Caenorhabditis elegans: one gene and its partners. The protein of the gene in region 2 purifies or fractionates together with the protein of the main gene of each other region. This does not show direct contact. Each region holds a gene or a part of one and is shown on either strand. Other genes may lie near its edges.

What was found.
Region 1: the proteins of cdk-7 (region 2) and pold-1 fractionate together in Caenorhabditis elegans (co-fractionation; one large-scale study listed by BioGRID). This does not show direct contact.
Region 3: the proteins of cdk-7 (region 2) and hint-1 fractionate together in Caenorhabditis elegans (co-fractionation; one large-scale study listed by BioGRID). This does not show direct contact.

What each region holds. Positions count from the first base shown.
Region 1 is NC_003283.11:12,038,383-12,047,223, reverse strand, and holds pold-1 (DNA polymerase delta catalytic subunit), read right to left. Parts: upstream 5,669-8,841; 5' UTR 5,615-5,668; coding exon 5,528-5,614; intron 5,448-5,527; coding exon 5,199-5,447; intron 5,154-5,198; coding exon 4,782-5,153; intron 4,739-4,781; coding exon 4,605-4,738; intron 4,558-4,604; coding exon 3,828-4,557; intron 3,783-3,827; coding exon 2,769-3,782; intron 2,723-2,768; coding exon 2,274-2,722; intron 2,229-2,273; coding exon 2,018-2,228; 3' UTR 1,877-2,017; downstream 1-1,876. Other genes in the region: F10C2.5 (alpha-1,2-Mannosidase), read right to left, coding at 1-47, 94-408, 471-1,063, 1,112-1,306, 1,360-1,792; Protein kup-1, read left to right, coding at 6,358-6,447. UniProt on the Caenorhabditis elegans protein: Possesses two enzymatic activities: DNA synthesis (polymerase) and an exonucleolytic activity that degrades single stranded DNA in the 3'- to 5'-direction.
Region 2 is NC_003279.8:2,285,177-2,292,717, forward strand, and holds the start of cdk-7 (Cyclin-dependent kinase 7), read right to left. Parts: upstream 4,578-7,541; 5' UTR 4,572-4,577; coding exon 4,467-4,571; intron 4,412-4,466; coding exon 4,310-4,411; intron 2,567-4,309; coding exon 2,387-2,566; intron 1,163-2,386; coding exon 1,055-1,162; intron 1,005-1,054; coding exon 894-1,004; intron 1-893. UniProt on the Caenorhabditis elegans protein: Serine/threonine kinase involved in cell cycle control and in RNA polymerase II-mediated RNA transcription. Required for maintaining chromosome ploidy. May phosphorylate the large subunit of RNA polymerase II, ama-1.
Region 3 is NC_003279.8:7,277,803-7,283,181, forward strand, and holds hint-1 (Histidine triad nucleotide-binding protein 1), read right to left. Parts: upstream 2,526-5,379; 5' UTR 2,510-2,525; coding exon 2,387-2,509; intron 2,343-2,386; coding exon 2,205-2,342; intron 2,131-2,204; coding exon 1,999-2,130; 3' UTR 1,868-1,998; downstream 1-1,867. Other genes in the region: Putative tyrosinase-like protein tyr-3, read right to left, coding at 1-210, 375-507, 590-724; F21C3.7 (Small integral membrane protein), read right to left, coding at 1,000-1,104, 1,323-1,522, 1,693-1,807; rde-2 (SH2 domain-containing protein), read right to left, coding at 2,851-2,861, 2,937-3,344, 3,390-3,609, 3,658-4,059, 4,106-4,165, 4,284-4,382, 4,430-4,579, 4,640-4,790 and 1 more; pfd-6 (putative prefoldin subunit 6), read right to left, coding at 5,328-5,379.

The DNA of each region.
Region 1 (8,841 bases), on a different chromosome or scaffold from region 2:
CCCTTTTCTGTTCGATTCATTTTCTCATGCTCATCACCATTGTTCACCTAAAAATAAAAACTAAAATTAAGTTAAATTTATAGTCTATCTTACTTGTTTCACACCAACTTCCTGATCCCGTTTTGCTTGTACACTACAGCAATCCAACATTCCTGGATCAACTGGATGAGCTTCAGTGTTGAATATATAGCCTCCTCCATAGATCACACAAGTCAAATTCTTTGGACTCGTCAATATTCTAGCTTGATCTCCTTTTGAATGAATGAAGTTTGTTGGATCGAACAATAAATAAAGATATTTAGTTGTTTCAGCAAGGAAAAATGACTCCATTCTATCTTCAATACTATGCTCTTTTACATTGTTGATTGTAGCATAGCCACATTTAGTTCGGGCTGATGATTCTATTGCCTGAAATTTAAACTTTTTCAAACGCATTAAGCTCAAGATTTAGTTTAAAATAAAAAACTAACATCAATCATTTCAGCTCCAAGTTCTAACCACGTTTCATCCTTTGTCGCTCTATACAGATACATCAATGATTCAACCATTTCAGGCCGTAAAGGAAATGCGGCTCGTTTTTCTCCTGGCTCTTCATTATGAATGTTATAAAATTCAGGTGGGAACCCGTATTTTCGTATAACTTCAGAATATGTTAACATAATTCTTGATGCATCTTGAACATCACCAACCATTGTTAGAGTTCCAGGCCAGAATGCTTCAAGAGATTGAAAAATTGGCAAGGAGACAGATCCTTTGGCCATTGATACCCACATAAACCATTCACCTTTCCGAACATGTTTATTAATTGATGTTGCATGTTCATGAAATTGTTTCATAAGACTTGGTCTTCTGAATAGATATGCTCCTTTTGCTAAATACTCGAAATAACTATCAACGCCAGCACCAATTCCAGAATCAGTTGCCGTCCATTGTCCTGTTTGAACATTGATATGATTGCCCACGAGTCCGATTGGTGATCTTGTCGACCATAAAGCATCCAACGCTTTTAGAGCCACTTTTTCGTATTTGTCATCGCCAGTCAAACGTGAGAGGGTACCAAATTCTTCAAAAAAGGAAGTTAGCCGGATATTATTAAAATCTTAAAAATTACCAATAAGAAATGTGCCCACACCAGCTGTACAAGTAATTGGTGTTTCATCTTTATGAACTCCATATTTCAAGTTAACAGTTCCATAGGGCATTCCAGTTTCTGTATTGAAAGCAGGCATAAGTCGATCAGCCATTTTAACAGCTAATTTGAGAAGCGGACTATCACATGGATAACCTTCCCAATCTACGACAAGATCTGGAATGAATCTTATGATGGTTTAGTAATATTCCTTGTGAAATTTAAATTACCTTTATGCCTTCCCGCTAGCATATGTGCAGATATTAATCCGCCAACAACTCTGATATTCGTCTCGAAAACAGAAACATTCACATTAGCATCATCACGAGCTTTCTCAAGAACAAGTGACACTGCTCTTCGGAATTCGGTTGTATTTCCCATCACCAGAAGAGTATCTAGAGCATCAATTAATGAAAGAGAGAATGATCCCCAGGTGTCTTGTCCAACGCATGTTATTGGTTTCAGTTCATCTAGTGGAAATGCATGATCCAAATATCCGTTGTAGGCGTGGTAGAACATTTTTTGAACTTTTTCTCTATAAGAATCAATAACTGATGGAGTGAATCTTATTGAAGACTTTTTATTATCGGGAGCTTCGGAATCATCTGATGCTTGAATAATTGACGCTAATGCTAAAAAGAATATTGCTTTTCGAGTGATCATCTGAAAATTGTGGTATTTTAAATTCAAATTTAATATATCAGACAAGTATTTTAAGCGATTATCGCTTACAAAAAAGTTTAAAGAATTAAAAACATATGTTTTAATCATCAACGCGAGTTTATAAGATAACCAGTAATAAAGAAAAATGTGTGATGAGATGAATAGTGTGGTAAGATCATTCACAGTCAATAATAATTAGACAAATAAACCGGGATCATAATTAATTCATTTAGTAGGTGCCTGGAAGCAAGGATCTCCAAATCGTTCGATGACGGCACTTGCCTCCGATAGCTCGTTTCGAACTTTTTCCCTCATATAGTAGATCGGACAGTCTCGAGCCGAGCAATTCACTTTGTCTTGCATAGTCTTTGCACAATTTTGGCATTCGGTCCAGAGGCGACCAAAATGGTTTTCAAGTTCGTGCATAGTGTTCATTCTGAAATGAAAAATATAGTAGAACAATTATTGCATTTCTAATTACCTAGAAGCAAAAATCGTTGGAAGCTTCGGCTCACAGTGTTTGCAAACTGCGTTCTCTGATTCTGCTCTTGGTAAAACACTCTTGCAACCAAGACAAGTTGCAGATTTCGTTGTGAACGCTGCAAGACCTCCAACTTTACTCTGAACGACTGTACGAACTCTTGTATGTTCTCCTTCCACCAGAATCTTTTCTGCTCTATCACCCAAGATGGGCTCGAAAATTCTGGCAAGTGGTTTGGCGAGTTGATTAGTCAAGTAGTGTTTGGTGTCCAATGGAATGTTATTTTGAAGTACAAAAGTTGGATCTTCAGCTCGTTCGTATGCCGGAACATTTTTTGCAGCAGCGACAAAAACATATGGAACTCTATCTCCAAGTCTTGGTGCACTTCCAGCGTCTCTTTTCTTCATACGAGCCGCCAACTCAACGTGAGCTTGCTTTGCTTGATATTTCTGAACATAATCAATTAGTTTCGTAAGGTTTTGAAATCGAACTTACATCTCCAGACTTTGTTAATTCCTTACTGATAATCAACAATGAGATATCAATTTTATTGCAGAGCAAGTCACTAATTGTCCGTTTCGCAAAATCCAAAGCAGATTGTTGATCTCTTTCTATTAGTAATTTCTCGAGGCAAACACCGAGAACTTTTGCAACCAGAGGGCAGTTATCACGGCGAACAGTTTCTAATCCTTTACAATCCATCTTGTCATGAACATCCGGTTTAGTGAAGTAAAGGCCAGCGTATCTCTTTTTGTTAATAAGTAAATATGGGGAGTAAACTTTCTCGAATTCAAGTTTGATCGGCGGAGTGAAAATCTTGCTGACTTCTTTAGCAGCATCGAGTCCAATTTCCATTGCTTGAGCTACAGTTTCGACACCGAATTTCACCATTACAGAATCTGTATCGCCATAAATAACTTTCGCATCTGCTGGACATTTTCCATCGAGAGCTCCTTTTTTGTAAATTCTCTCCACTTCGAGTTTCGTCATGTCAATCATTTTTCTTCCGAAAGCTGTAACTGATTGAGAAATCTCGAGACATGGCAACTTTCCAACAGTTGCACCAGTGAAACCATAAACAGAATTTGCAGAGATTTTAAGCGCCAATTGTCGTCCATTGTAAACCATTCTTTTGAACTCGTCTTTCTCGTTTTTCATATCGTTCTTCGCTCGTTTTCTTGCAGCCAGAATATCCTCGAGAATCTCGGGAAGAAGCCCACGGCGCTTAGATTTGGTTGCAAAATATTGGCCAGATGGTGTCCGAATATAATCCTCATTCTCAACTCCTTGTGGGGATTTTAAAAGTGTCGTGTAACAGAGATTATGAGCAATCATAATGGATGGATATAGAGAAGCGAAATCAAGTGTTGCAATTGGTTCATTGTAAAATCCTCGAATCGGATCAATGACAGTAGCACCTTCGTATCCTTCACCATCCCCAGAATTGGCTTCAATTACCGGTAAGAAGAAATTGTTCTGCTTACATCTTCGTAGCATCATTGATAGAATCTACAACAATTTCAGTATTATAATTTAAAATATATTTTGATTTACCTTGATTTGTTGACCTTTTGTCAGTAAGAAATTCATAGGAACTCCGGTGACTCTAGCCATTTCGATGTAATTAATAATTGACATTAATTTATCAAGCAGACGAAGAGGAAGATATGCGTCTTTCAAACAATATTGAGCCAATCGCCTCCTAGTTTGTTCATCTCCTCGTTGTAAATCAGGAATAATATTATGTTCCACATCTTCTTTTTGTTCGGATAAAAATTGATATGAGACACTATTGAGTGTATAACTTCGGAGTTTGTAATCCCGAAGTACAACTTGAAGTACATCAAAAATAATTCTTCCGTGAATATCGATACTCTTGTTCACTCGACTTCCCATCTGTTTCGATGATATTGCAGCATCTCTTACAACTGAGCCTTTTTCTTTCTGACGACCAAGATGAGAAACTTGTGGCAGTGATAGAACTTTAGCACGATCCAGAATGTATGGAAGATCAAAATTGAGAATGTTATATCCAGTGATAATGTCGGGATCCACTTCACGAACAAATTCAGCCCACTTTTCGAGAAGAACTTTTTCATTCACACATTGAATGATATTTGAACCGACGACCGGTGCACATGTTCCAAGAACGAAACAATTACGAACAAATGGTTCTGCTTCACCTTCGATTTTCACAAGATTAGCTATTTGAATAATAGGATCTTTAATTGCTTCGGGAAACACTCCACGTCGACCAATACATTCGATATCCAGAGACAAAGTACTAAAAAAGTTATTTTTTCAAAAGTAAGTTCAAACTTTCAAACTTACCGAATAGGAGCAATTCCAGCCCATTCACCATCACTTTCATGAACAATCAGGTTTTTGACCGGAACTGTGACTTCTATTTGACAACGAGACGACTTTTCACTGTTTGAAAGAATTCGGCACTTTCCAGCAGGAATCTGAAATCATAAAGAATTAAAAAAAAACTAATATTGTCAAAACCTCAATCCAGCCACATCCAACAATATTCGTTTTCGCCAAGAACATGACAATCACATTAATATTTGACTCGTATAAATTCCCAACGTTCACAGGACCCTTTCCCATCAAGTTAACTCCATTTTTCAATTCCATTCGCGCTTTGTGAAGAGCTTCTGTAGATCCTGACACCTTGACAAAAGGAACTTTCGTATCAGCACCGCGGAAGTAATAAAGATTCTCTCCGTGAACTATCTCCACATGAACAAGATTATCAACTACTTTTCCAGGCAATTGAGCTTGACCGCTACCACCTCGGCGTTTTGCTGCAGCAACCATATTGCAAATTGCAGATTGTGCAGTTCCAATGTGCTCGACACCGAATCCTTGTGGTGCCTGTAAGAAATATTACCAATACTTATTTTTTAAAGCTTAGATTACCTGGAAATAAAAATGTGGAAAGTAGTCAGTCACAATGACACAAATCGAATTTCCAGATTTGGTTACACCATACAACTTCACATTTGTTCTGTCGTAAGATGTTGCAGAGCCGTCTTCATGATACGTTTCGACCTCTAAGATCTGACACGCAATGCTTTTGCTAATTCCGAGATCTTTATCGACTGCTGGCCTGGCCCATCCTGTTTTATCAATCGTTGGTACAGATGGAAGTTCATTTTCGAATCTTGACTGAAAATAAATGGTTAGTGATCATTAAAAATAAAAAATGCAATTTTTAAAAGCTTGAAATCATAATATGAAAAACTTACAACGTAACACTGCTCGAATTCGTCACTTTCACGCTTTCGCTTCACTTCTGGTTGAAACGAGCTCCCGCCAGGACGCTTGGAGGTCATTTCTGATAAAACTCAGCATTAGAACAATAAATAAACTATGAAAGTAGAAAGAAATTGTTTGTCAAAATAGTAATGTAAACGTGCTCAAACGAAACGCCGCGAATCGTTTTTTTGTCTGAACAAACGTTTAAAGATTTAATAGGGAGAGAATTAAGGCGATTAGGTGGGAATTTAAAGTTTCATAACATCGAAAATCCGTTTAGATTGTGATAATCAATAAATAAAACAATAAAATAAGAATTGAAAGTCAATTTTTTTTATTTCCAAATCTTTTCGCTTTGTTTTGCCGCGCATTTTGGGTAGCGAATGTGCGCTCCACTGCAAAAACATTTCTACCGCGCTGTTTGAAATCTGTTTTTTGGGCCAATCGATTTTACGGTTTTGTTTGGAAGCGTTTTTCACTGAGAAAAACCTGGCCACTATTTCCTCGCATTCTTTTATATGTTTTTTTTTTCGAAAAATCAAGCTAATGCGCTATGATAAATTTGTATTACCTTATTTTGTTCAATCTCGACTTTTTGCTTTCAGCTCTCGAGTTTTATTGCGCGAAAAGCATATTTACCGTCCTTTGAACATTTTCTACTCGTTTAAAATAGTTATTGTTGCGAGATATATTGAACGCCTTCTTCAAACTCTTTTCGATCATTGAAAAATATATTTATTCATTGTTGAACTTTTCTCCCTTGTCTTCATTGTGCATAACAGTTTAAATGTATCTAAATTTTATTTATTTCAGCAGAGACATGGACGACGAGCTCGATTATGGATCGGATCACTCAATACACGGCGACGTTAGAGAAGATCTGAGTGACAGCGAGCTTCAACTACCGAAGGTGAGTAGTTTTCAAGATAAATCTGTTTAAAATATTACGTCTGAAATTTTTATAAATATTTCGATATTATCAAAGTGAGAAATTGCGAATTCAAATTTGACTACAAAGAGGAAGATGCAAGATGATCGGCTCGTTTTTTTCGAGAGCGTTTTGTTTGTTTGAATTGGGAAACTTTTGATCGTTTTGCTGGAGTCAAGTTTAATGACGCAATTCTTCATTTTGAAAATATCGCATAAAAATTTAAATAGTTCAAGCTTTTTCTTCCAGTGATCTCTGCAAAGTATAGTTCTGGTTACAATCTAGTGAAATTCCAGGGTTTAAACTTTAAAACTTCCATAGCTTGGCTGAAGTTTTGTACTTGTGTGGACCTGACTTCAAGATGAAAGTTGCCGTTTGACTCGCTTTGTCTAGAAAGTGAATTTGCTTTATTTCTGTGAGAGTGAGCGTTCTAAAATGACATTTTGTAACACGTGGAAGAAATGTAGGATCGGCCACTGAATTCTCCTTCATCTGTAAAGAATTATTAAAAAGTATGTCGTGTCAATTCATTCTGGACAGTCCATTCTATAACCCACGAACGAGCGACTAATTACTTCATAATTTAAGCCGACTTGTTGACACGACACACTGGCGGTCAGTATTATCCAGAGGATGAGGTTGCTGTGTAATTACAGCGTGTTCTTAGTCTCTCTCTCTTTCTGTCTTTTTCATCCTCATCTCTCACATACAGACGCGAACATACACAAAACGCCCGCAGGTAATTGAACACAAACAGCCTGGTGGTTAAGGTAGTGACCGGGACAACGATGACGACGTCCGGAGGAAAGTGATGGAAAAGACAGGAAAGAAACAGAGAAAGACTGTCGACTGCGGCGGCGGCGACGGAGAAGGAGAGCCCCTATTGTGCCCCTCTTCGTCAGGCCATTCATCGTGTGTCCTTGTGTTGCTCCCCTCCAATTCAATACCGTCTGCGGTGGTGGAGGTGGTGGTCTCCCGAACCGAACCGCCGCGGAAATATTTGTCTAACAACTCGATGACACAAAAAGTTTTACGACAATGCCGACGATTGTAGATGGCCTTTGTATATGTAATTATCGTGACGTGGCATTTTGAGTCGATCATTGCTATTTCATGTTGCACGAAATATTGAAATCTCACAGAGAACACCAGGACCTCTATAGGTATTCGTCGCATCCCGAATCAGCTCGGAATAAGTATCAGTAACATTTGACTTCAAATCCTCCGTGATTTGCAGAAATATAAAGATTTGTAGAAACTGAAAATGTATAAATTTCAAGCGATTTTTATTACAAGAATGTTTGCCGATGCTTCTTCTTCTTCCAAATCATAATATTCAATGGAATTATTGCAGCTTTGTCTTTTTATGACACCGTCATGCTATTCCTATCGCTGTCTTACTTTTGAAACTCAATTCTCAACTGAACGAAGATTCGCTTCCCTAGATATTTGCGAGAATATATACTTGCGAATTAATATCTTAATTTTGATGTTTTCCCACACTTTAGCTTTTCTACTATTCATATAATGTAGGAATAAGTACTGTTAGTATGTTTTCCGATTCTTCCAAACAAGGCCTATTTGTGATGGGATCATTCAATGTACTCTATTGACACCATTTGTTAGCTAAAGCCCAGAGCTTGCTGAAACGTGAGGCGGGGAGGAGTCGTCGTCCCGCCCCTTTTGGCTGTGTGCGCGCCCTCCTCTCGCCTCCTCCATCCGTCCTCTTGCCCCGCTCATTCTTCGTCGCTCCTCGTCCTCCTATTCCACCCTCAATATGAGCGGTCGTCGAATGTGTCTCCCCTTCTCCCTCAGTGTATGTGTATGTGAGTGTATGAGCGACGGCGCGCGCGCCTTCAGTCGTGTTCTTGTGCCCATGGCGCTCTGTTTCATCCGTGCATCCCAACGAACGACTTCTATTCTAGTCCAGGTTCCTTCTAGAGGCCACCATTCTAATAACTTCTCATCCTCAACACAGGTTGTGCCATCCGGCCGCCTGATACTTTCGTCTCAACCTCGCTGTCAGATTGGTCGTAGGTGAGCAAAGTTTCAGGTGTGCCGGAACACACCCATACTTTGCCTAATTGGTAGTTGTCAAGGTTAGTTTAGTTGCAAAACAATGGGTGGCATATAGGTCCCAACTGTTGGCTATCGCTATTGTCCCCGCTATTTCGCTCACGGCGTATGTATGTATGTATGTATGTGTGTGTGTGTGTGTGTGTGTGTGTGTGTGTGTGTGTGTGTGTGTGTGTGCAAAATATTTTATTTAAAAGAGCTGGAAGGATGTTGAAAAGTGGAGCGACAAGAAAAAAGGGAAAGACGACAAAGACGGGACAACTATGTGTTGTACATTTGTGACGGAGACTAGGCGGTTAT
Region 2 (7,541 bases):
TCGATTTTTCTTTGACAATTTTGGATTGACGCGCAAAATATCTCGTGGCGAAAACTACAGTAATCTTGTAAATGACTACTGTAGCGCTTGTGTATCGATTTATGGGATCTCGACTCCCGTAAATCGGCCTACAGTAGTCTTTTAATGGGTTACTGTAGTTTTCGCTACGAGATATTTTACGCGTCAAATATGTTGTGCAATACGCATTCTCAGAATTTTGTAATAACTTTTTTTTTACCAATTTTTTAATTTACAAAACTTCCACAATTTCTTCCTCCAAATTCAAAGGCAATCAGAATTTTTTTTTTAATTGAACATTTTTGAAAAATAACAAAAAATTCCAAATTTTTTTAAATTAAAAATTTGAATTTTTGGTTCGAAAAATCGAATTTTTTGCAGTTAATTTTCAGAAAAAATATGGGTTTTAATTAGAATATTAAAATGTTTTTAAGTGAAATTTATTGACTTTTTTTTTTGAGAATTTTGTGCCAAAAAAAATTCAAGTTTTTTTTTTCGAAAAAAGCGTTTAAAAATAATGAAATATTGGAAATATTCGGTTTTTTTTTCAAAAATTATGAAATTTCACAATTTTTCAGTTTTTTTCCAATTTTTTTTCGAAAAAAGTATGAAATACTGAAAATTTCACAAAATTTCTCAGTTTTTCTCCGATTTTTCCGAAAGAAAAGTGGAAAAAAAAATATTTAAAAATTTCGGTTTTTTTTTTCCGGAAAAATGCGCCAAAAAATTATGAAATTTTGCACATTTTCCAGTTTTTTTCCTATTTTTTTTCGAAAAAGAAAAGCCAAAAAGCAAATTTTTTGATTTTCTCGAAGGAAACTCTATTTTTGACGAATTTTCGATTTTTTCTCCAAAAAAAATCATTAAAAACGAACTCTCAACAACAATTCGGCAATGATACATCCAACCGACCAAATATCAATTCCAACTCCATAGGAACGTGCTCCAAAGAGCAACTCAGGGGCTCGATACCATCTTGTCACAACCTGAAAATCGGGAAATTTGCAATTTTTTCAGGAAAAAAATCCTCTTAAACCTGATGAGTGTAATTTCTGTTTGGAGATCCGAAGAATCGAGCCAAACCGAAATCGGTGAGCTTCACGCGTCCCATTTTGTTCATCAGCAGGTTATTTGGCTTCAGATCCTGGAAAAATTAAATTTTAAAAATATAATATTTTTTTGGGAAATAATTGAAAATCTGGCGCTTTTTCTTTCAAAAAAAAAGGGAAAATCCAGAAATTTTGAAAAATTTCCAGTATTTTATGCTTTTTGGCACATTTTTTTCTGAAAAAGAAGGAAAAAATTGAAAATTTTAATATTTTCCTATATTTCATGATTTTTGGCCCATATTTTTTTTCGAAAAGAAAGGAAAATCCGAAAATTTTTTATTTTTTACATTTTCCAATATTTCATGTTTTTTAGCGCATTTTTCTCGAAAAAAAAGGAGAAAATCCGAAAAATTTGTGAAATTTCCAATTTTTCATACTTTTTGGAGCCCTTTTTTTGAAAATGTGGAAAAACCACAAAATTTGAAAAATTCCCAAAATTACATGTTTTTGGCGCATTTTTCTCGAAAAAAAAAAACGATCACTGGCTGGTAATTTCTGATTTTTTTTTGGAAATTATTACATTTTACTGCAAAAATTCTGATAATTCCAAATTGTTTATTCAAATTTTGAATTTTTTGATTCGAAAAATCTAATTTTTGAATGAAAAATGTCTTTTTATCCGAGTTCGTTCGATTTAAAACATTTTTTGTATTAGAATTTTTCAAAATTCGAAAATTTGCCATAAAAACCAAATTTTTCCAGATTTGTTGCCAGTTTTCACCCGAAATTCGGGGTTTTCCTGATTTTTATTCAAAGATAATTTCAAAAATATGTAAAAATCGGAAAAAAATTATTTAAACATTTTAGAGTCCAATTTTTCACGGTTTGACTCATTAAATTCAAATTTTGAGCGAATTTCGCCCGAAAAAAATTCGATTTCATCGAATTTTGTCTATTTTTATTAATTAAACTATTCCTTGCCAAAAACATCCGAATTCCGTCATTTTTCGTGCTTTTAATTCAAAAAAAAAATCGGAAAATAAATTTCTTACACTAAAATATTTTTTTTTCCCTCAAAAAAGTTCGAAAATCCAGTTAATTTTGCCAAAAATATCAAATTTAGCTATTTTCATCAAATTTTGAATATATTTTTTACAAATTAAATCATAACAATTTTTTTTTGTTAACTTTTAATTTTTTCACTCAGAAAATAACTTTTGAGTTCAATTTTTCATGGTTTTAGCCAAAAAAATATCGAAATTTAGTTATTTTCCGCAAATTTTCAATATATTTCCAATTTTCTCCATCAAAAACCGTACTCTGTGAAGAATCCAGTGAACGTGTAGAAATTCGAGTCCCAGAAGCATTTGCATCGTAATATTTTTGATATGTGCTGGCATTAGAATAATTTCTTTATCCTTAATCACATGTTCGAGATCTGTATCCATAAAGTCGAAAACCAGTTGAATACTTGTTCGATGTCCAATCACATCTCGTAACTGAAAAAAATTGAAAATTTAGGATTTTTTAATACAAAAATCGAATTTTTCAGAAAAATTCAATTTTTAAAATCGATTTATTTATTTTATTAATTTTAAATTTAAAAAAAATCTGTAAAAAAAACTGATAATGAGAAAAAACCGATTTTTTTGTAAAATTTTCCAAAAAAAAAATTTTTTTTGAAAAATGGTCATGCACTTTTATTTTTAATGAAAAAATTACACATGCGCGAAAATTTGTGATTTTTGCTCCAAAATTACCGTACCTGGTCTCGACACGACAATTTTTTTGTTAAATCGATAAAGGTGTGATGCGCCTTTAAAGAGGCTACTGTAGCTTCAAACTTTCGTTTCTGCCGGATTTTCATCGGATTTTTGCAAAGTTTTTCGATAAAAATTTTATTTTTCTATTTAGAAAAAAAAATCAAATATAAATAGTAAACTTTATACTCGATTCTTTTTTTTTTCTAAAAAAATAAATATAATTTTTATCGAAAAAACTATGAAAAATCGATGAAAATACGGCAGAAACGGTAGTTTGAAGCTACAGTAGCCTCTTTAAAGGCGCACAGCTTTTCGCTATTAACAAAAACTTGTCGTGTCGAAACCCCAGGTACCGTAATTTTTGAACAAAAATCGCAAAATTTGGGATTTTTAATACCAAAAATCGAATTTTTGTTTCAAAAAAAAATTTCTTCAAAAACTTCAAATATTAAATCCGCTTTTACACATAAGCGAAAATTTGTGATTTTTGCTCCAAAATTACGGTACCTGGTCTCGACACAACAACTGTTTGTTACCCAAATTGAAAAAGGTGTGCGCCTTTAAAGAGTACTGTAGCTTCAAACTTTCGTTTCTGCTGGATTTTTATCGGATTTTTACATAGTTTTTTCGATAAAAATATATTTATTTATTTTTAAAAAAATTATTTTTCTTCTAAATAAATAAATACAATTTTTATCGAAAAAACTATGTAAAAATCCGATGAAAATCCAGCAGAAACGAAAGTTTGAAGCTACAGTACTCTTTAAAGGCGCACGAATTTTCGAATTTAACAAAAAATTGTCGTGTCGAGACCAGGTTGGAACAAAAATCACAAAATTTCGCGTATGTGTAATGATATTTTACAGCTAACAATTGATGGAAAATTTGACAAAAAAAAATCCGTTTTTTCTCGGCTAATTTTTACAGATTTTTAAAAAATTTGGTCTGAAAATTTCAAATTTTAACTCAAAATTTTCCTGTTTTCAGTGAAAATTTCCACAAAAGTTTGAAGATACAGTACTCTAACTTTAAAGGCACACACCTTTTCGCATTTAACAAAAAAATTGTCGTGTCGAGACCTGGTACCGTAATTTTGGAGCAAAAATCACAATTTTTCGGGTATGTGTAATATTTTTGCAATTAACAATAAAAGTGCATGGAAAATTTGCCAAAAAATCGGTTTTCTCAGTTATTTTTTTACAGATTTTTAAGGAATTTTAAGATTTCGCCATCTTTTGGCCATCTTTTTCTGAAATTTTCAAATTTAAATTCAAAATTTCCCAATTTCCAGTAAAAACACGTATTTTTAGAGTAAAAATCACAATGTTTCGCGTATGTGTAATATTCTTCACTAAATTTTCACTTTTGTTGGAAAATTTGCCAAAAAATCGGTTTTCTCAGTTAATTTTCACAGATTTTTTTTTTAATTTGGGCTTCTAGGCCTGAAAATTTCAAATTTGAATCCAAAAATTTCCAAACCCCGATAATATTGTCATGATGAATTTCCTTCAAAAGTTTAATCTCTCGAATCGCCGTTCGATTGATTCCATCTTTTGCTTCTTCTCTCGATCCTAGTTTGATCTACAAATTTACGCGGTTTTTTTTTCATTTTTTCAGCGGAAAAATGTATAAATACTTTTTTAATAGCCACACATTCGCCCGATTCGAGGTCTTGTGCGAGATAAACGTTGGCGAATTGTCCTTCTCCAAGATGCTTTATTGTATCGTAACGTCTACTCATTTTGGGCTGAAATTTGAAAAATTGGAAAAAAATCACATGTTTTTGGAGATTTTTGAACAAAAATAGCGAAAAAACATAAAAATTCAAGTTTTCCGTCAATTTTCGACTTTTTTTTAGGAAATAACTGAAAAAATGTCAAGTTACGGCAAAAATGTGCAGCTTCTAGCCTATTTTTTAGGAAATTTCCTAGAAAAATCAGTTTTTAATCGAATTTTCACCTTTTAAAACCTGACTAAAAATTCTTTTTTTCACCTGACTAAAAATTCTTTTTTCACCTGACTAAAAATTATCCTCTAAAACAATCGGTTTTTAATCGGATTTTCACCTTTTTTGACTAAAAATTACACTGAAATTTAATAAAACTCTGTGGAATTTTTGCCATGCAGTTTTATCAAGATTCAGTGTAATTTTCAGTAGAAAAAGGTGAAAATTCGATTAAAAACCGAAATTTTACAGTTTTTTTTTTGGGAAAACTCCTCAGAAACGGCCCATTTTTGACAAGTTTTTTTCGGCAAATTCGGTAACTTGCCGGAAATTTTCTATTCTGGCAATTTGCCGATTTGCCGGAAACTTTTAGAGGGATTTTTTTATAAGACGGAAACACCATTTGCTGAAAATTTTTGGCAACCACCGTTTTTTCCGGCAAATTCTGCATGTGCCGGAAATTTTCACTTTTCATTCTCGGCAAAATTCGTCCAATTGCCGGTTTGCCGGAAATTTTCTGTTTCGGCAAATTGCCGATTTTCCGGAACATTTTAGTGGGATTTTTTCATAAGACGGAAACACAATTTGCCGTTGATTTTTGGTAATTGCCGTCTTTTCGGCAAGTTTTGCAATTGCCGGAAATTTTTCATTCCGGCAATTTGGGAAATTGCCGGAAATTTGCCGATCAAAATTGAAATTTCTAGAAGGGAATGTGCAAAACCACACTTTGCCGAAAATTTTTGGCAATTGCCGTTTACCGGTTTGCCGGAAATTTTCCATTCCGGCAATTTGCCGATTTGGCAGAAATTTTAATTTTCGGCAAATTGCCGGCTTGCCGGAAATTTCAAATTCGACAATTTGCCGGAAATATTCAATTCCAGCAAAATGCCGACTTTCCTGAAATTTCAAATCCGGCAATTTGCCGACGTGCCGGAAATTTCAAATTCGGCAGTTTGCCGGTTTGCCGGAAATTTTCAATTACGGAAATTTGCCGACTTGCCGGAAAAACGTTTGCCTCTTTCCCAGAATTGCCGATTTTTGCTCAAAAACCTGCCAAAGGTCCAAAATTTGTTGAATCTACAGCAAACATACTTCAAATAATCGAAAACTTCGCGATTCTGAGCGTTATGAGCCAACTTTCACTGTGCAATGAATAGGAACGACTACTTGCAAAGAATGGGTTCAAAGTACACACTTTCGAAAAAATGCGTCTACCACCCCTTAGCAACCGCGCTCCATTGGACGTTCATGGAGAGACGAGACAAGTCAGCAGACCCCCCAAGCACACAACACGACAAAAATACAAAAGAGACGCAGACGCGGCACCCAAGCTTTTGCTTGTTGTTTCGCATTTTTCTCTGTTTTCTCGTGATGATGTTGTTTTGGAAGCTGGTTTTTTTGTTCAGTGTGATCTCTCGTCACATAAGAAACCAAGTTTTTTTCTTTCATTTCAAAATGAAATTGAAATTAGAAAAATTTGAATTTTCCAATTTATTCCAACAAAAAGAGTACTTGAACTTTTTGATAGATAAGATTAAATGCACATTATAACATATCGTATGTATAATTTTCCATTCATTGTCTTCGTTTATCAGTTCAATTTTTGCCGGTTTTTCACATTTGACATGTGCTGTTCACGTGAAAAGATGAGATGCAACGCCTATGGAATTTGATTACATCAGCCAATAGAGATTGCCGCTTGGCAAGGATATTTTCCGGCAAATTTGGCAATTTGCCGGTTTGCCGGAATTTTTCAGTTCTGACAATTTGCCGATATTTTGCCGGAAATTTCAATTCCGGCAATTTTCCGATTTGCCGGAATTTGTCATTTTCGGCAAATTGTCGATTTGCCAGAAATTTCAATTCCGGCAAATTGTCGGTTAGCTGATTCGGAATTTTTCATTTTCGGTAAATTGCCGATTTTTTGCCAGAAATTCCGATTCCGGCAATTTGTCGGTTTGCTCCGATTCCGACAAATCATTGTCGGAATTTTTCAATTCCGTCAATTTGCCGATTTTTGTCTGAAATTTTCAATTTGTCAATTCTGGAAGCTTGCCAATTTGCCGGAATTTGTCATTTTTGGCAAATTGCCGATTTGCCAGAAATTTCTATTCCGGCAATTTGCCGATTTGCCGGAATTTGTCATTTTCGGCAAACTGCCGATTTGCCAGAAATTTCTATTCCGGCAATTTGCCAATTTGCCGGAATTTGTCATTTTTGGCAAATTGCCGATTTGACAGAAATTTCTATTCCGACAATTTGCCGGAAATTTCAATTCCTCCAATCTGCCGATTTTTTGCCAGAAATTTCAATTCCGGCAATTTGCCGGTTTGCCGATTTGTCGGAATTTTTCAATTCCGGCAATGTGCCGATTTGCCAGAAATTGTAATTCCGGCATTTTGCCGGTTTGTCGATTTGTCGGAATTTTTCAATTCTGGCATTTTGCCAATTTGCCGGAACTTTTCAATTCCGGCGATTTGCCGCTTACCCCTGAGAAAATCTTGGCCATTCTTCAGCAATTTTTGCCGATTTTTCGAGTAACGAAAACTCTATGGGGGCTCCGGCATTTTGCCTATTTACCGGAAATTTTCAATTCCGGCAATTGGATTCCACCCAGACAGCTCCACAACAGGAAAACCTTTCGGCAAACGTTGGAAAAAAAAACTATTCATTGAAGTAGTTGGATTATCAAAAAGTTGAATAATCGTACTTCAAAAGCCCTCAGACTTCGGCCAAACTGTAGTTGTTTCCCAAACTATTACAGTT
Region 3 (5,379 bases), 5.0 Mb from region 2:
ACGGAAGGAATGCTGGTCCAGAATGAGCAGCTCCACTTTCAGAATATTGAGCATGAACTCTTGCCAGTCGATCGTATTCTCCATTCTGTTTCAGAGTTCGGAATGCTTGATGAAGTCGTTGTCGTTCATCATCAGAAAGCATACGGTATTCTTTTCTTACGACTTTTCCAAGTGGACGACCTTGAACCACGCAATTATTTCCACCGGTTCCTGAAAAAACTAACGAAAAATTGGGAATACTTCCTTGATCACCAAAAGTATAAACGATGAAAGCTCACAAATTGATTCTACATTCTATATTACATTTATCTTTTATAGATCAGCTTTGAGGCTATTTTATAATTGTCAAAATTATGACAGATTATGTTACTTACCTCTGAAAAATACACAAAGACAAGCGATATCCATACATTGAAACACATTACTTGCAATTGGAGAAAATTCAGCAGCCATTGCTTTACCAGCAATTCCAGGTGTTTTCACGTCACCGGATAATGATGGAGTTGCCTGAACTTTAAGATTATGCATCAAAAGTTTAAGAATAATTTCAGTACATTTCTTCAAATAATGTAATCCTTAAACCACTTACCCTTGCTTTTTGATCCCATCTTTGAATCTGATTACACATTATTCGAATAGCAGGAGTTGGAGCTTTTGAGCAGTCTAACTGAGAGTTTACTTCAAAAATTAGAAAATATACTAGCAGAATAATATACCGGATCATTTTTGTTATATTTTCCAATCCAATTTTTGTAAATTGTTCTCTTATACTCTTGCAATTTTGTTGATTGTCGTGACACTGGAACAGTACACTTTCTATCTCGACCTGTTTTTAAGGAAGATGTTTTAACAAAAATAACAGAAGAAAACACAAAGATTAATAATAACAAGTGGATGGTAGAAATTTGGGAATATGAATTTATCATAGTTTTCATTTTCTTTTTATTGAGATATCAAGGTACGAGTTATCAAGTTTGAGAATCCAATTCACTCAACGAATCAAACTGAAAGGCATCTGTTCTGAGATGAAGAAGTATTCGATTTTCTGGTTCGTGGTGTTCCATATTGAGGAAGTTCAGATATGGATGCAGCTTCAGTTCCCATCTAAAATAGACTTACATTAGGTTGAGAAACAAAATTTCATTCAAAAGGTCCCATAATCATTTTCAATCACTTAATTACTTTTAATTTGGATCTTCCATCATGTTTATGACCATGGAAAGGACACGCTTTGAATAAAATCTGAATGGCCGTTATTGTGATTTTCTGATATTGTTATTTTCTAAATATAATAATCAAAAAACCTTTTAAAACAACCGTACCAAATTTCCAATTTCCTCGTGATGTTCAGAAGGTGTCGAATTTCTAGCAAAGTGGTTTCCATTGATATTGAAGTTTTCATCTTCCTCATCAAATCCGCAAAGGCTTCTGATACAGAGAACCACAAGGCTCAACAAAGCTTGAAACACACCGCAAGTTATGCAAAAGAAGATAACGAAAATCAATAAGAGTGGAAGAAGATCTGAAAAAAATTGAACTATACAAAAAGATCAGCCCAATGCGGGGCTCGAACCCGCGACAACCAGATTAAGAGTCTGGTGCTCTACCGGCTGAGCTAACCGGGCCCGGCGACATTCATATTTCATGACATTTAAAAACTCTTTCTTTGCCATTGAAACACGTGACACTTACACTGCCCGTCTCCTTTCTCCCACTCCAAGTACAAGTCAGTTGCGTTGACGATCGAATCGTTACTATTTTTGTCAGGAATCGTCAGAATTGATTTCACTTTATCGTACAGCGTCATATTTTATACCAGAAATGATTAATTGTTTCAATAATTGAACACGTCAGATAGAAGAAAAAGAATGCATTTATTTCAAAAAACATGATGCCACGGTTTAAAATAGTTTTGGAAATAAATATAAATATAATTTTTTACTGATTTGTTTACAAGACTGATAATGAATTAGTGGCAGAATGTAAGCAATGCAATATTTATCCAGGTGGCCATTGGAGCTGACGTCCTCCCAAAACGTGGAGATGAAGATGGAAAACTGATTGAGCTCCATCTTTTCCATTGTTCACAACAACACGGTATCCATTGGCCATGCCGAGCTGCTTTGCAACCTGGAATTTTATTTAAGAGTAATATAATGGAGATTTCTGGATTTTCAAATTCGTTTTTACTCATTTATAATTACCTTTGAAGCAGTAACCATAAGCTTTCCAATAAGCGCAGCATCCGAATCAACGGCATTCTCGAGCATATCAATGCGACGCTTAGGGATCACAAGAAAATGAATTGGAGCTTGTGGAGAGACATCATGGAATGCGAGAGCCTTAAATAAATATTTTATGTGATCGTTTGCCTGATCTTACATACCTCATCATCTTCAAAAATGATTTTCGCTGGAATCTCTTTTCGAATTATTTTTCCGAAAAGAGTGTCGTTGGCTTGAACATCTTTGTTAATTGCCGCCAAGTGGGCTTTATCTACTTCCGACATGTTTCTCTTTGTAAACCTGAAAAATGGTGGAATCGATAAAGACACCTTGCCTACAGTAACCCTGACCTAACTGGATTACGGTAAGCAAGACGCAAAGCGGTTTTAACCAAAGAGGAAGCCATACTAAAATATTGAAAAATGGGCAAAAAATAACCAATATGCAATATATTTCAAACGATGAAAACGCTAGACAACGAGAAATAAACAATAAACATGTGAAAATAAATGCTTTAATCAGTAAAATGATACAAAAAATAATCAAAAAAGTTAACACAAGAACAAGAATTAATGTACCAGAATACAATTTGAACCCATAACGTGATTTGTCGATTGTGCAGTTTTTACTTTCGAACTGAAATAATAATTTGAATAGAAAACCAAGAATTCTCCTAGGTTTCTTCGAAAACTCGGTTTCCCTCTTACTTACCATTCATGAAATATTGATTAGAAGACAATGGCGGAAGCTCTCGAATATCTCCATTTGTGAACTGTTGATAAGCTTCACCTCCCTTTCCAATATGTAATGAAACATTTCCAATTGGTTTTCGATGAACAACCCACGCGATTAGGTCAAAATCTGCTGATAATTTCGAATTCAAATGATTCAGAAGACGTTCTTTTGGAATTGTGACAAGTACTCCATTTGTTGCTTTCAAATAATAAAAATGATGATCCGAGTTCATCTCTGTGTTGTCATGATATTGCTCCACTACTAGTTCAGGTTTTGAAAGTGCGATTTTTACTTTCATTTCAAGCACTCCTCCGAAGCATCTGACCGAGTTTTTAAAGCAATCAATTTTAAGGAGAGAATCTGGCGTGTCTGGTTTCTTTTTCACTTAAAATTAAAGTTTTTTTAAAACATTGGTAAATTGTAAAATACCTGCAATATGTGTATATGGAATCTTGAAAATGAGCCTATCTTTTGTTTCAATTCTACGAGGCAAGATATCGAAGAATGCCACGTCTCCGAGTTGAGGGGATCTTTCCAATCCTTCACACGATCTTTCTTGAAGCAAAACGTTTATAACGTCTCTTTTGGCTGTGTACAAAATTGCAAAGCCATCGATTTTTTGCACAACGGTGCATAAAGCAGATTGAGGCTGAAATATGGTGATGAAGATTAATATTATTGTTCTGGCATTACGTACTTTTTCGGAATCAGTTTTATCTTGACGAAGCAGTTGAAGCATCGTTGGAGCTAAATCTTTAATAAACGGTCTCATCGGAATATTAGATGTTCCACGTGTTCCGTATGTATCTTCATCATCAATTTCATCTTCATCTGATAACTGATTTGAATCAATAACTGGTGCTGCTCGACTTGAGATTGTAGTCTGGGACAAGGATGAATCAACTTGATTCAATTCGATACTTTGGCTTCGAAAAGTTTCCGGAGGTATTTCCCGATTCTCTGACACAACTCTAGAGGAATTGTACGAATCAGATGTCTGCGAGTTCATTTGAGAATGCACGTCTTCTTGATGTTGACTTGATTGTTGATCTTGTACGTCGGTTTCGGGTGTTTGAACATATCCATTACCAGTCATAATCTAAAAATGTGATTACTTGAAAAATTCTGAACTATAAGTCACATACATCCAACAGTCTTGTATCATGAAGATACTGTACATCAGAATCAACGACTGGATTCGGGAGCTGAAATTATATTATGTAAACTGCAGGAGGTTGTGGCTTATATGTTCTGGGAAATTTTGATAAGCAAAAACCAAAATGTGAACAATTCAAAATGAACCAGGACACTTTTGCCACATACTGATTGATATCCATTTCGGCTTACAGCATCACAGGTGTGTAGCTTTTGTGGATCTTCATGCACACTCAATGCGACCCAACCTGCCAGAGATGCTTGAGCCTGCAATATTTTTATTTTAATAGTTTTTTTTAAAATCGATAACTTACTTCAACAATAAAACTGCGTCCATCATAGTGTTGACATGATGATTTGATCAGACTAAAGTCGTCAATAATATGATCATAGGAAATATCGTAACTGGTGAAATCATACAAATTATTTTTCCGATCTACTATTACATCAAATCGAGCTGTTATCTGAAAAATTATAAAAATCCGTACTCTTTATTTATTAAAACTTTTTCCATTTGAGATTACCAAAATTTCTCCTTCATCGTTAGCCTCATACTTCGGAAAGAATCTCGCCGATGAATTTCTGTGATTCGGCAAAACGTCCCAGTTTTCATATCCACAACTATTTGAGGAATCCAATACGTATTGTCCCACGAAGTTCTGACAAACAGTTAATCTAAAATTGCTAGTTAATAAAATCAGATAAAATAATGTCTAACTTTAGCCAGCGTCCTATCTGCAGGCTCTGAATATTTCCACTGATTTCGACAAATCCATCGATATTTTTGGTATAGAAAAGATAATTTCTGTTTCCATATTTATTGTAACCAACTACCAATCCATATATTTGGGTTTGCGGTTGTTGAATTTGTGGTTGGGGATTATACGACGATGATGGCTGACTTTGAGCATAATAGTGATTTGGAGGAAAATAAGAATGGTACCCATTATGCATCTGAATAGCAAGAAAATGAATATAGTTATAAATCAGAACTGATGTAATTAGCAATGACTTTTAACATAGACGTGAGCACAAATGGTATAAAACAGTTTGAAAGCATTTATTGTAAATGGTTCCCCGAAACAAGAAACTTATTTTTTTCATAGAAAAATTAATGTGATCTTCTCGTTTCGGAGAAACACCAGAGATGAAGAATAGGCAAAAAATAACAAATTAAGAGCAAAAAATATGAGATTCATAGAACAAACTGGATTATTTCTTCTGTGCTTGGGCTGCTGCTTGAGCCATCATCTGGAAGCTTTTT